Linked DNA regions of Mus musculus. The protein of the gene in region 1 purifies or fractionates together with the protein of each later gene. This does not show direct contact. Links are inferred from orthologs where the notes say so. Each region holds a gene or a part of one and is shown in the gene's direction. Other genes may lie near its edges. The genes, in order: Tspyl1, Zmynd8 and Ddx24.

The links.
Region 2: the proteins of Tspyl1 (region 1) and Zmynd8 purify together in Homo sapiens (affinity purification with mass spectrometry; 4 studies listed by BioGRID and IntAct, counting the BioPlex papers as one, with this or other methods). This does not show direct contact. The link is inferred for Mus musculus from reciprocal best matches to the Homo sapiens genes TSPYL1 and ZMYND8.
Region 3: the proteins of Tspyl1 (region 1) and Ddx24 purify together in Homo sapiens (affinity purification with mass spectrometry; 3 studies listed by BioGRID and IntAct, counting the BioPlex papers as one, with this or other methods). This does not show direct contact. The link is inferred for Mus musculus from reciprocal best matches to the Homo sapiens genes TSPYL1 and DDX24.

The regions. Positions count from the first base shown.
Region 1 is NC_000076.6:34,281,419-34,285,113, forward strand, and holds Tspyl1 (testis-specific Y-encoded-like protein 1), read left to right. Parts: upstream 1-771; 5' UTR 772-862; coding exon 863-2,002; 3' UTR 2,003-3,467; downstream 3,468-3,695.
Region 2 is NC_000068.7:165,783,820-165,787,467, reverse strand, and holds the end of Zmynd8 (protein kinase C-binding protein 1), read left to right. Parts: intron 1-220; coding exon 221-304; intron 305-1,729; coding exon 1,730-1,878; 3' UTR 1,879-3,316; downstream 3,317-3,648. UniProt on the Homo sapiens protein: Chromatin reader that recognizes dual histone modifications such as histone H3.1 dimethylated at 'Lys-36' and histone H4 acetylated at 'Lys-16' (H3.1K36me2-H4K16ac) and histone H3 methylated at 'Lys-4' and histone H4 acetylated at 'Lys-14' (H3K4me1-H3K14ac).
Region 3 is NC_000078.6:103,408,734-103,412,381, reverse strand, and holds part of Ddx24 (ATP-dependent RNA helicase DDX24), read left to right. Parts: intron 1-1,064; coding exon 1,065-1,253; intron 1,254-2,324; coding exon 2,325-2,454; intron 2,455-3,648. UniProt on the Homo sapiens protein: ATP-dependent RNA helicase that plays a role in various aspects of RNA metabolism including pre-mRNA splicing and is thereby involved in different biological processes such as cell cycle regulation or innate immunity.

The DNA.
Region 1 (3,695 bases):
TGTCATTTTCTATGTTATTCTGGTAAGAGACCCAGTCTCTCCTTGTCTCAATAAAATGGATATCTTAATACATCAGAGGATTGTTATGCAAACTATTCGATGCCACGGTGCAAGACACACCAGTAAAAACAATCATTAATGATGACCACAAAATCTTTTCCAAAAAGAATAATTCCCAAAGCAAACCCACAGATCTTTGTTCCCCAGTAACGTCAGAGCTTAGAATAGAACTGAGTTTTTATTATTATTTTGAGCCAACGTGTATGCAGCCCAGGTTAGCCTCCAAGTCAACGATCCTCCTCAGCACCAGAGCACTGAGGCGACAGACAAGGGCCATCACACCAAGCTAGACTTCATTATTTTTTTCAGTTCTGTGGTGGTGGTGGTGGTGGTGGTGGTGGTGGTGGTGGTGGTGGGGAACCGTGGCATTCACCTTGGTTAATACAAACATTTGGCTCCTAGCTTTGTCTAATACCAGGAGGTGTTTTTACCGTTCCACATAAGTGGAAAGGGGATGAACTTGTTTGCAGACACAGACACACACACGGCTGCAGCCCGGATGCGGGCGAAGGGTCCAGAAGCCAGGTCCAGAAGCCCCGCCACTGTCTTCAGTCTCCTAGGATGATTGACATCCCTTTACGGAAACAAACGTGACAACCGCTATCCGCTACATTTACAGAAGCCAAACAAATACGGAAGTCACGAGCTGAAGAACCAATCAGGTGCGCTGCAGGTTCTCGCGAGACTTGCGGGCTGTGGCTCTGGCGTCACTGCGCTGGAGAGAGCGAGGGGCGGAGCTGGGGTTGCGGGGGACCGTGAGGGTTGTTGTTTGTAGGCGGAGGTCTGCGCGACTAGACCCGACATGAGCAGCCCGGAGCGGGACGAGGGGACCCCTGTCCCCGACAGCCGCGGCCACTGCGATGCTGACACTGTCTCGGGGACCCCAGACCGGCGACCGCTGCTCGGCGAGGAGAAGGCGGTGACAGGTGAGGGCCGCGCAGGGATCGTGGGGAGCCCCGCGCCCCGAGATGTCGAGGGCCTTGTCCCCCAGATTCGGGTGGCCGCAGCTAGGCAGGGAGAGTCACCTCCTTCCGTTCGGGGCCCCGCGGCAGCGGTGTTCGTGACACCGAAATATGTGGAGAAGGCCCAAGAAACTCGGGGAGCGGAGTCCCAGGCCCGTGACGTGAAGACGGAACCGGGCACCGTCGCGGCTGCAGCGGAAAAGTCAGAAGTGGCCACGCCAGGGAGCGAGGAGGTGATGGAGGTGGAGCAGAAGCCCGCGGGCGAAGAAATGGAGATGCTGGAGGCGAGTGGAGGAGTGAGGGAGGCGCCGGAGGAGGCAGGGCCCTGGCACCTGGGCATAGATCTTCGCAGGAACCCGCTGGAGGCCATCCAGCTGGAACTGGACACTGTGAATGCTCAGGCCGACAGGGCCTTCCAACATCTGGAGCAGAAGTTTGGGCGAATGCGACGACACTACCTGGAACGGAGGAACTACATCATTCAGAATATCCCAGGCTTCTGGATGACTGCCTTCCGGAACCACCCTCAGTTGTCCGCCATGATTAGGGGTCGGGATGCAGAGATGTTAAGGTACGTAACCAGTCTGGAGGTGAAGGAACTGAGACACCCTAAGACTGGCTGCAAATTCAAGTTCTTTTTTCGAAGAAACCCCTACTTCAGAAACAAGCTGATTGTCAAGGAATATGAAGTGAGATCATCTGGTCGAGTGGTGTCTCTTTCCACTCCAATCATTTGGCGGAGAGGGCATGAGCCCCAGTCCTTCATTCGCAGAAACCAAGATCTCATTTGCAGCTTCTTCACCTGGTTCTCGGACCACAGCCTTCCAGAATCTGACAGAATCGCTGAGATTATCAAAGAGGATCTGTGGCCAAACCCACTGCAATACTACCTGTGTCGTGAAGGAATCCGTAGACCCCGACGTCGCCCAATAAGGGAGCCAGTGGAGATTCCCAGGCCTTTTGGCTTCCAGTCAGGTTAATCTTTGCATTTGAAAATGCGGCCGGAACTGGTCCCTTCTCACCTGTGCTTGAGCAAATGCAACGGGTATGCAGTGTTTTGATTTCTTTCCTCCTGACTTTTCTGCATCTTCTATCTGGATAGTCTCCACCTCGAGATTAAGACTGGACATGCTTCTGCTTTCCCATGGCCTTCATGCTGTTCTGAATTAGTATCTGCTGGTTCACGGCCCTGGCTTATACCCTTTCTAAGCTCAACAATGAAACTGTATGTTACACTGCCTTTACACTGTTTGGACCCTATTGTTTTCAGTCTTACCTGTTTACTGCCACCTAGATGTCTTGCTTTAACTGGGGGCCCTTCTATTTATCTGTTCATCATGTGGCAACGTGGACACAGAGTTTTTGGACAGTTGCTGAGCCTAAACATTGAAGGAGTGGGCCACTGTCTGTGTGATTTTTTTTTTTTTTTTTTTTGGCACCACTTTCTAGGTTATATCACACTCCATTGTGTTTGCCAGTGCTCCTCACCCTCACTCTCCCACCTTTCTCCTGCTATTTTAAAGAAAAGTAGTTCAGAAACATCTGTAAGGCCAGGAGTCATTTATACTTAGCATTTCCTGAGAAGATACTCTGTAAAAGAGGAAACAACTCTGCCTTGTCTCCTCTCTTACCCACTCCCCAGCCTGGTTAGCAAGCTCTAAAAAGCTTCCAGGGAGACAGCTAGATGGAAACAGCTGAGCCCTTCCTAATATATGGAAGAACTAAAGAAGTTTTGATGGGTACTCTAAGCAGAAAAAGTGAGCTGAAAAGGCTTAGAATCAAAATAAGTCAGATAAAAATTGGGCTGAGAATGAAGACAGGACACAGCTTACACATCTTGGTCAGTCAGTGGTGATGGGAAGAGAACTAATTTCTCAGGAAAAAATATTTTCTCTGAGTGTTGAATGTTGCCTAGATAGTGCTTCTTTAAAGAAGCAGTGCAAGTTTGAGTTATTTTCCTCTCTTTATATGTGATCTGATATAAGTGAAAGTATAATATTTTGCCCATCTTTTACCAATATTTAGTAAAATGCTACTTGTTTCAACTTACTGAAAAAATTTAAACACTTTTGTTTGCATTTATTTGAAACCATTTGGAATATTGTAAGACAACTCACTCTGTAGACCAGGCTGGTCTTGAACTCAGAAATCCGCCTGCCTTTGCCTCCCAAGTGCTGGGATCAAAGGCGTGCGCCACCACTGCCTGGCTAACAGTAGTCTTTATAATACTGAGACTGAATATTCGTAACAGTTTTCGATATTACTCCAAATTCTTAGAAACGGCTTGGATAATTGGTCTTAATCAAATGTGTCAAATTATTGTTTTCATGGAAAAGTAAATATGTGACTTGATTGTCTTGATATAGTTATAAAAGTACTTTGTCAGCACTGTATATTTGTTGCCATTTTTATGCATGATGGTAAATAAAAGCATGGCATCCTGTTAGATGGCTTTTTTTTTTTTTTAATCCCCAACCTGGCCGTAAACTTGCCTTAATGGGTTTGTATAATTGACAAGATTGTTGAATTATTCAATTCCTTAAACGTACACAATTGACATCCCAGAGGTACCAAGAGTAGTTGTTTCTCCTGCTTGAAGAGTAGTTGTTACTGTCATTGTTTTGTTGCTGTAGAAGGTTGACAGTTACAACTGCTTACTGAGATTGCAGATCT
Region 2 (3,648 bases), on another chromosome or scaffold:
CCCCGCGTGTCCTTCTATGTTCACCTTCCTCCCTGTGATGTGGCGCCGTGTCCAACGACCCTGTTTGTGGTTTACACAAGTTTTTAAAGGCCCCAGTCACCTGTAAGCACATCCAGTCGAGTGGCCTACATGAAGGAACAGCTAGCCATGGGTGTCGGCCCCTGGGGTTGTGTGCAATTTCAGCTGTGATGGATTCTAAGGCTACCTGTGCTCTCTTCAGTTAGCAAGAGGTGTGACAAGCAGCCTGCCTATACCCCAACCACTACAGACCACCAGCCGCACCCCAACTACCCAGCCCAGAAGTGTAAGTATGACCCTGTCTCAGGGGAGCTGCTGGGAGAGTCACTCCTGGCATGCAGAAGCCATGTTTTGTGTGTCTGTGTGTGTCCGTGTGGGCGTGTCCTGTGCTTTGAGTGTTGGTCTCCCTCTGCTTTGCCGTCGCCGTCGTCTTCTTGTTTGTTCCCCATTGCTGCCTTTGCAAACTGCTGTAGGTTGGGCCATTCAGAGCCTTTGTTTTGTCTTAGCTGGGTACTGCATCTCCCCTGCCGTGGTCTGCCATGTTAGCCAGCATCCTGGGCCCAGTCCTTTAGAGGCTCAGGCTTTGGAATCTCAAGTTCTGTTTCTTTCATATCCCCACTGATCTTGGCTCTTCCCCACAGCTGGAAGGACTTGGTGATGTGCGACTATATCCATGCCACCCCTCAAAGACCTTCTAGAAGATTATATAGCCTAACTGCCAGGAATGTGAGCTCTCAAAGGACCATTTGGAACTCTGATTGTCCTTTTAGAACACTGCCCCCTTCTGGCTGAATATAAAAGCAGCCTGAACTTTTAAATTTTTATTTTATTTTATTTTATTTTATTTTATTTTATTTTATTTTATTTTATTTTTTTGCATGTGCTTTGTGAACAGGCAGTAAGAAGTAAGAAAGACAGTCCCCCAAGGGCAGCAGTGGTCCCTTCTCACTAGCCCTGCTCCATCTTAAGCTTGATGCTCCACAGCTCAGGAAAGTTAGAGAATCTGGGAGCAGCAAAGGGGTCTTAGTGGCCAGCCATTAAGTGTAGGGCCTTAGTGTAGGGCCATTGTCCTCTTCTGTGATAGCGTCTGTGGCTCTTCTGTTAGCTTCCTCTTTGCTTCCTCAGCCACTACCTAACTTGCTGCCCGTGTGACCTCAAAGCCATCCCAGGTGTCCGTTGGGGTCTGTATCCGTCACTGACCCCTAACATGGTCCTTACTGGGAGTCCACGGAGTCAGTGTCCAGGTGGGCTTAGCCATCTCATCTGGTCCTCATTTCTTCTCTTACAATATCTTCCTGGTTTGGATATGAGTCTTATAAATGAATCAGGAGTTCTGTGAGGTCACCACAGATGTCAGATTCTGCGGGTCTTTCTCTAAGAGCCGAGGTCAGAGGCAAGGTGCATGGGCCCCCCGTGGTATAGTCCAGACTCTTAACAGGGCAGGGGTTCCCCGTCGACTGGACACCATCACTCGCTAACCTCACTCTCTGCTAGTGTGACACCTTTTGACCTTTCAGTTAGCTATAGCCCAAAGCCAGCTGCCCTCACTCTGTGTTCTACAGCCACAGCCCTGGGATCTCAGGGGCAGCTGTGGGCGTGGTCCGGTTGGAGTGGGCGTGGTCTGGCTGGAGGGAGGGAAGGTAACTTCCAGCTGGGAGATGAGTTGAGGAAGGTGGGGAGGGGAGTTGAACACACTGCCTTTCCTTCACAGACCATTCCCGGAGCAGCAAGGCAGGTTTGTGGAGCAGCAGCGAGGAGAAGCGAGCGTCATCCCGCTCTGAGCACAGTGGAGGGACCAGCACGAAGAACCTCATGCCCAAAGAGTCCCGGGAGTCTCGGCTAGATGCCTTCTGGGACTAGGGGTGCATTGTGAGCCAGAACACCTCCCTATAGGCGGGAGAAACAGCCCAAACCACAGGAAGCAACAGAAACTGGAGAACCGCCACCTTTAGAATTTCCAACACTCAGGCTCTGCCCGTCGGCTTGGCTGCAGGACAGAGACTTGACTCCATCCCAGCTCTGGTCTTGGCTGGGATGGCACTACCCTGTGAGCCAAACACTTTAGGTGTAAGTAGGTACACTTGTGACGTCACTGACCTAGCGTACCTTTCCTTTTCATATCTACACTGACCTTAACTTATAAAAAAAACAGAAAAGAAAAGCAAGTTTTATATATATACATATATATATAAAGATCTACAATTAAAAGAATGTTTTGATAATCCAGGGGCTGGTTAGTGAGCCCGCTGGCCTCACTGGGGTGTCAGGGCTGGGCCCAGGGATTGCTATTTTCACGTAGGCCCTTGTCCTTGGATACCCAGGGGAGGGAGCCACTGTCGCCGCAGCACACCAGGATTGGGGCTCTCAGGCTGTGCTGCCCTAGACCCGCCACACCAAGCCATCCGCCCCTCACAGACCCTACAAGACGATGTTAGGAAACACATGCTTGCTGGCCTTGAAGGACACAGAGAGAAGTATGTGTGTGTGGTGTGTTTCCAGCTCTGGCTCCCGAAGGGGCAAAGCAGCCTCCTGTTTACAGAAGGTCCACGCGAGCTATCCCCGTGGCGTTACGAATGCAGCCAGCGCCCGGCGTTTGTGCAGGGGTGTCGGGAACGAACGCAGCCAGCGGGCATCTGTGCGTGCGAGGAGACCCCTTCTCTCGGCCAAGTTTTTTCCCATAACACCCACATGGATTTGTGAAGACGTGCTTCTCAGAAGCAAGGACTCAAAAAGCAAAGGTGCACGGCGAGGCCACGAAGCCCACGCCAGCCCGGGGATGGAGCATGTATGTATTATTTATCTGCTGGAGTTCTACGTTTTTATGTAAGCATGAAACACAGGCAGTGTGAGAGAAAGCCAGGACCCGACATGCTGTCCGTTAACGCTACGTCTGCTGTAGTTCCATTTTGTATGTTGTGTAAAGCGAGCATCGATCGAAGCAAAAGGTGATGTGTGTATATCAGAAAAAAGAAATTAACTGTATATCATTCCAGTACATTCCGTTGTACATTTTAGTCTCCGTTTACTTTCTCTTCATTGTTGATAAGAGAATGCCAAGCTGCGCGTTGTTCAGGCAGTTTACCCCTACTAGAGAAGAAAGGAAGAAACGCTAGAAGAAAACAGGAGAGAGAGAAAATTTGTGAATTGCGGTCGTCAAAACAAAACAAAACAAACAAAAAAAAACAATCTAGCCTAGCTGGCCTTATTTGGGAAGCGTAACTGCTTTTAGCATATGGGAGTATTTTTTCACATTTTCTTTGTATAAAATTTGTATTAAACTTAAATATCTTTTTTGATGATGGCGTTTCTTCATGGCTGAACAGCGTCCTCTCGCGGTTATGAGCTTTTGGGTTCTCCCCCCTTTGACATCCCAAGTTTTTCAGGTTCTTAACCCTTTTTAAAAAAAAACTAAACCGTTTTGGCAAAAGGGTTTGGTCATGCCAATCTCCCGTGGGTCAGGGTGTGGCTGTGTCAGGTTTGAATGGCCACAAGAGACAGGTCTCCTGAGGTCCCGGGCACCCTCCCGGGACGTGGGCTGGACTGGGACTTTCTTACCTCCCATGGTAGCTGCAGTCTTCTGAGGCCAGGCTTCATGAGCGCTTCACCTGTGCTAATGCCACCTGAAGTGAC
Region 3 (3,648 bases), on another chromosome or scaffold:
GGGTGGCTGGAGGCTAGAGAGTCATGGGAGGAATCATGGTAAACGGTTCATAGCGACACTGAGCCTGCTGCACTTCATTCGTGGCGGATGCTACAGGCGTCAGGGAAGAGGAGCACCAGTACCCGTGCCATGCTGTTTGTGGACAGCATGCCTACTATATAGGTTGTCCTGGGTTAACCTGCTCTGAATCCTGGCTCCCACATTGAGTTAGATTACCTAGAGGAAGTGGTGGATCTGAGTGAGCGTTCGTTTCCTGTAATATGTTGACAGTGATAAAGTATTTTATATGTCTAGGATAATATTGTCTTCTTTACATTTCTGTTGCTGTGGTAAAACAGTATGACCAAGGCAGCTTAGAGAAGAAACAGTTTATTTGTCTCATGGTTCCAGAGGTTGTGAGCTCCTGACAAGAGAGGAGAGCTAACAGGGGGGAAGTAGGTGGAGCAGCAGCTGAGATCTGTTGCAAATATGAAGCAAAGAGGGTACGCTGGAAATGGGACCCAGCTTTTGTGAGCTCAGAGCCTGCCACCAGTGACTCTTCAGCAAGGAGATACCTCCTAGGCCTCAAAAAACAAAACAAAAACAAAAAAGCCAGTTGCCAGTTGGGACCAAGTATTCAAATGCCTGAAACTTAACAGGGAACATCTCATTCAGACCACCACATACGAAGTGTTTTGCAGTTGGTTGTCCTAGAGCAGTCACTCGGTAACTGTGGGTTATAAATGTACTGTCATCGGTCATGCAGAGCTGAAGAATATGTGGAGATTCAGAATGACAGTATTGGTCACAAGAGGAGTGAGAGTGGAGAAGATGAAAGAAAAGCAGATAAACAGATTGAGTGTGAAGAGCTGAACAGTTGTGGAGGCTGTAGTGGGGCAGAGCCTGCACAGTAGCTAGACTGTTAACTTAGGGGCAGTCTATGTGTCAGAATGAAGGGCTAAGTTTTTCCACAGAGTAGGGAGATTGGTGTCCTGCAGAAAACAGAGCCAGTTTCGGGGTGTGCCCCGAGGGCAAGAGCAGTGTGGACCTTGTCCATGTGCTGATCCTCACTGCTGCTTTGGCAGGTGCCTCGCACCTCAGAGATTTACATCCACCGAAGTGGTCGGACTGCCCGCGCTGCCAGTGAAGGCCTCAGCTTGATGCTGATTGGGCCTGAGGATGTGATCAACTTCAAGAAGATCTACAAAACTCTCCAGAAAGATGAGGACATCCCACTGTTTCCAGTGCAGTCCAAGTACATGGATGTGGTCAAGGTAAAAGTTAAACTCCACTGCACTGCCTCCTCACAGAGCACCTTACTCTGAGACCAGAAGTTATCCTAGGGGATTGAGAAATGGTTCTGCCGATGGCTAGGCAGTGGCTTTTGTTAAGAGGCTGGAAGTGCCAAGCCTGGGAGAAAAGCAGAAAGGGGGAGTGACCAGAGAAGTGTGTTTTGTCCCTTAATCACTCTGATATCTGGTCCTGAAATCTGCACCTGCTTCTGCTTCAGTAGACAGCTCAGTGAGCTCAGCCATAGACATTGTCAGAGAGCTGTGAACAGCAAGGTAAATGCTGAAGGCTTAGTGTGCCCTAAAGCAGGGACAGTAAAACTTGCTGTCTACGTTTGTATTAACTCAGGAGCATTCACTGTGATTCCTGTGTACCCCGGGCCCCAGTGTATCAGGGACTAATATGGGGTAGTTTTCCCGAGGCTCACCAGTGTATGTATAGGGTAAGCCCACGGCACGCTGAGGTGTCCAGGGAGCACTGGGCCTGAGAGGTGTGTGGTTGCGATGGGAGCAGAGCCTTCGTCCTACTACAGAGATAAAGAAGGGTGAAGAGAAGATGGTTACTACGGGCATTGGGGGTGTGAAGACAAGGGGCAGTTTAAGGGTGTGTCACCACTTGGGCAAGAGCGTTGATTGTGTAAGGATTTAGATGGGGCTGGTAGAGGTGGGATTATAGAGAATTCCTGTTAAGGCTGCTGGGAGCAACTCCATTTTCGTGCTTATTCCCATTGCACATGCTCTCTCCATGTCAGGATGAGCAGGGCATTGTGTCACTGCAGAGTGACCTCAAGACCCACGAGAAAGAGGAGACAAGATCACTCTGGGCCACATAGAAGTTAGCACCTGAGACAGAGCTGTAAGGAGATTCGGTCAGGCTTCTGTGGCTGTGATGGTCACCTGGGCTGTTAGCAGGAACCTGGGCAAGGGTTTCAGTAGAATCTGCATTGTTTCTCACTCGTCACTGATCACATTACAGCTTAAGAACTGCTTCAGTAAAGTTTGCTGAGAGGCCCAGACTCTTGATCAGATGAATATTTTGTGTTACTGCCCCCTTAGGAGCGGATCCGTCTAGCCCGACAGATTGAAAAAGCTGAATACCGGAACTTCCAGGCTTGTCTGCACAACTCATGGATTGAGCAGGCGGCAGCAGCCCTAGAGATTGAGCTAGAAGAAGAGATGTACAAAGGTGCGCCTGGGCAGGGCGATTGCTTTCTTTTAGCTTTTACCTGGTTGAGACCATCCTTATTTCTGTGATCCCAGCAGGAGCAGCAAGGTTCCCTTTTCTTGTCCTATGGCTGCTGCTTCTGTATGGGCCAGATACCTTGGGCCTTTCTTGTCTGTCTGACAGCCTCATGGACAGCCCTTGGACTCCATGACTAGGAACAGATCACAAGCAGGGTATCCTTGTTAATGCAGCCTGTCCTTTACTGTATGATTAGCCGCCTGCTGTGCCTTTTCGTTCATGTATAAGACAGGTAATAAACTCCGTACCTCCCAACAAGGTTGAGTAAAGGAGACTAAACTCGATCCACTTATGCTTGAAAACTAAAAGTATATGGCACTGCTAAGTCGTCATTTATCATGGTAGTTAATGTTGAACAGCACAGCACCTTCATGTCTCATTTATAACTTCTCCAGGTTCTGGGCATGAGTTGAGTGGGAGCGATTGTCCTTTTACATGAGGGATAAAGAGATAGAGGAGTGCACAGAGCCAGGCAGTGGTAGACTTGCCTTTAATCCCAGGAGGGACAGGTAGATTTCTGTGAGTTCAAGGCCAGCCTTGTCTACAGAGCTAGTTTCAGGACAGCCAGATCTACATAGACAACCTTATCTCAAAAAAACCAAAACCAAAACAAAACAAAAAAAGGTTCACAGAGAGAAGGAATTTGTACATCAGAACAGCTCTACCACCAGGCATTGCCTAAACCTTCTTCTGTCTGTGGGCCAGAAGCCCAGAAAGAGACCAGGAGTGAGGGGCTGCATGGCCCTGCATAGTAAAGCTGAAAACTGCATCTGGGGCCTATGACAGCAGTTATAGCTGGTGCCCCTTCTTCCATACCAGGAGTGCAGTTTAACTGAGGTGTTGACTTCTCAGTACCCACTGAGCAAGTTCCCAGGCAGACTGCTGCTCAGTGTAGGAGCCAGGAGTTTGCCAACAGTGTGTTCCTCCTTGTAGCTCAGGTCTGGGGCTCAAGTAGAGATGTGAGCCTCTACCTTTCCTTGCTGAGGTCAGGCATGGGCGGGGACTTGGGCTGTGTCCACCTCTGCATGTACTCACAGCATTGGTGAGCTAACTGGAGAGTCAGTCTGCACAATCTCCCAAGGAATTTGTGGTCGTCATACCACAGGAGGCAGCGTGTGACACAGGGGGAGGAGAGCA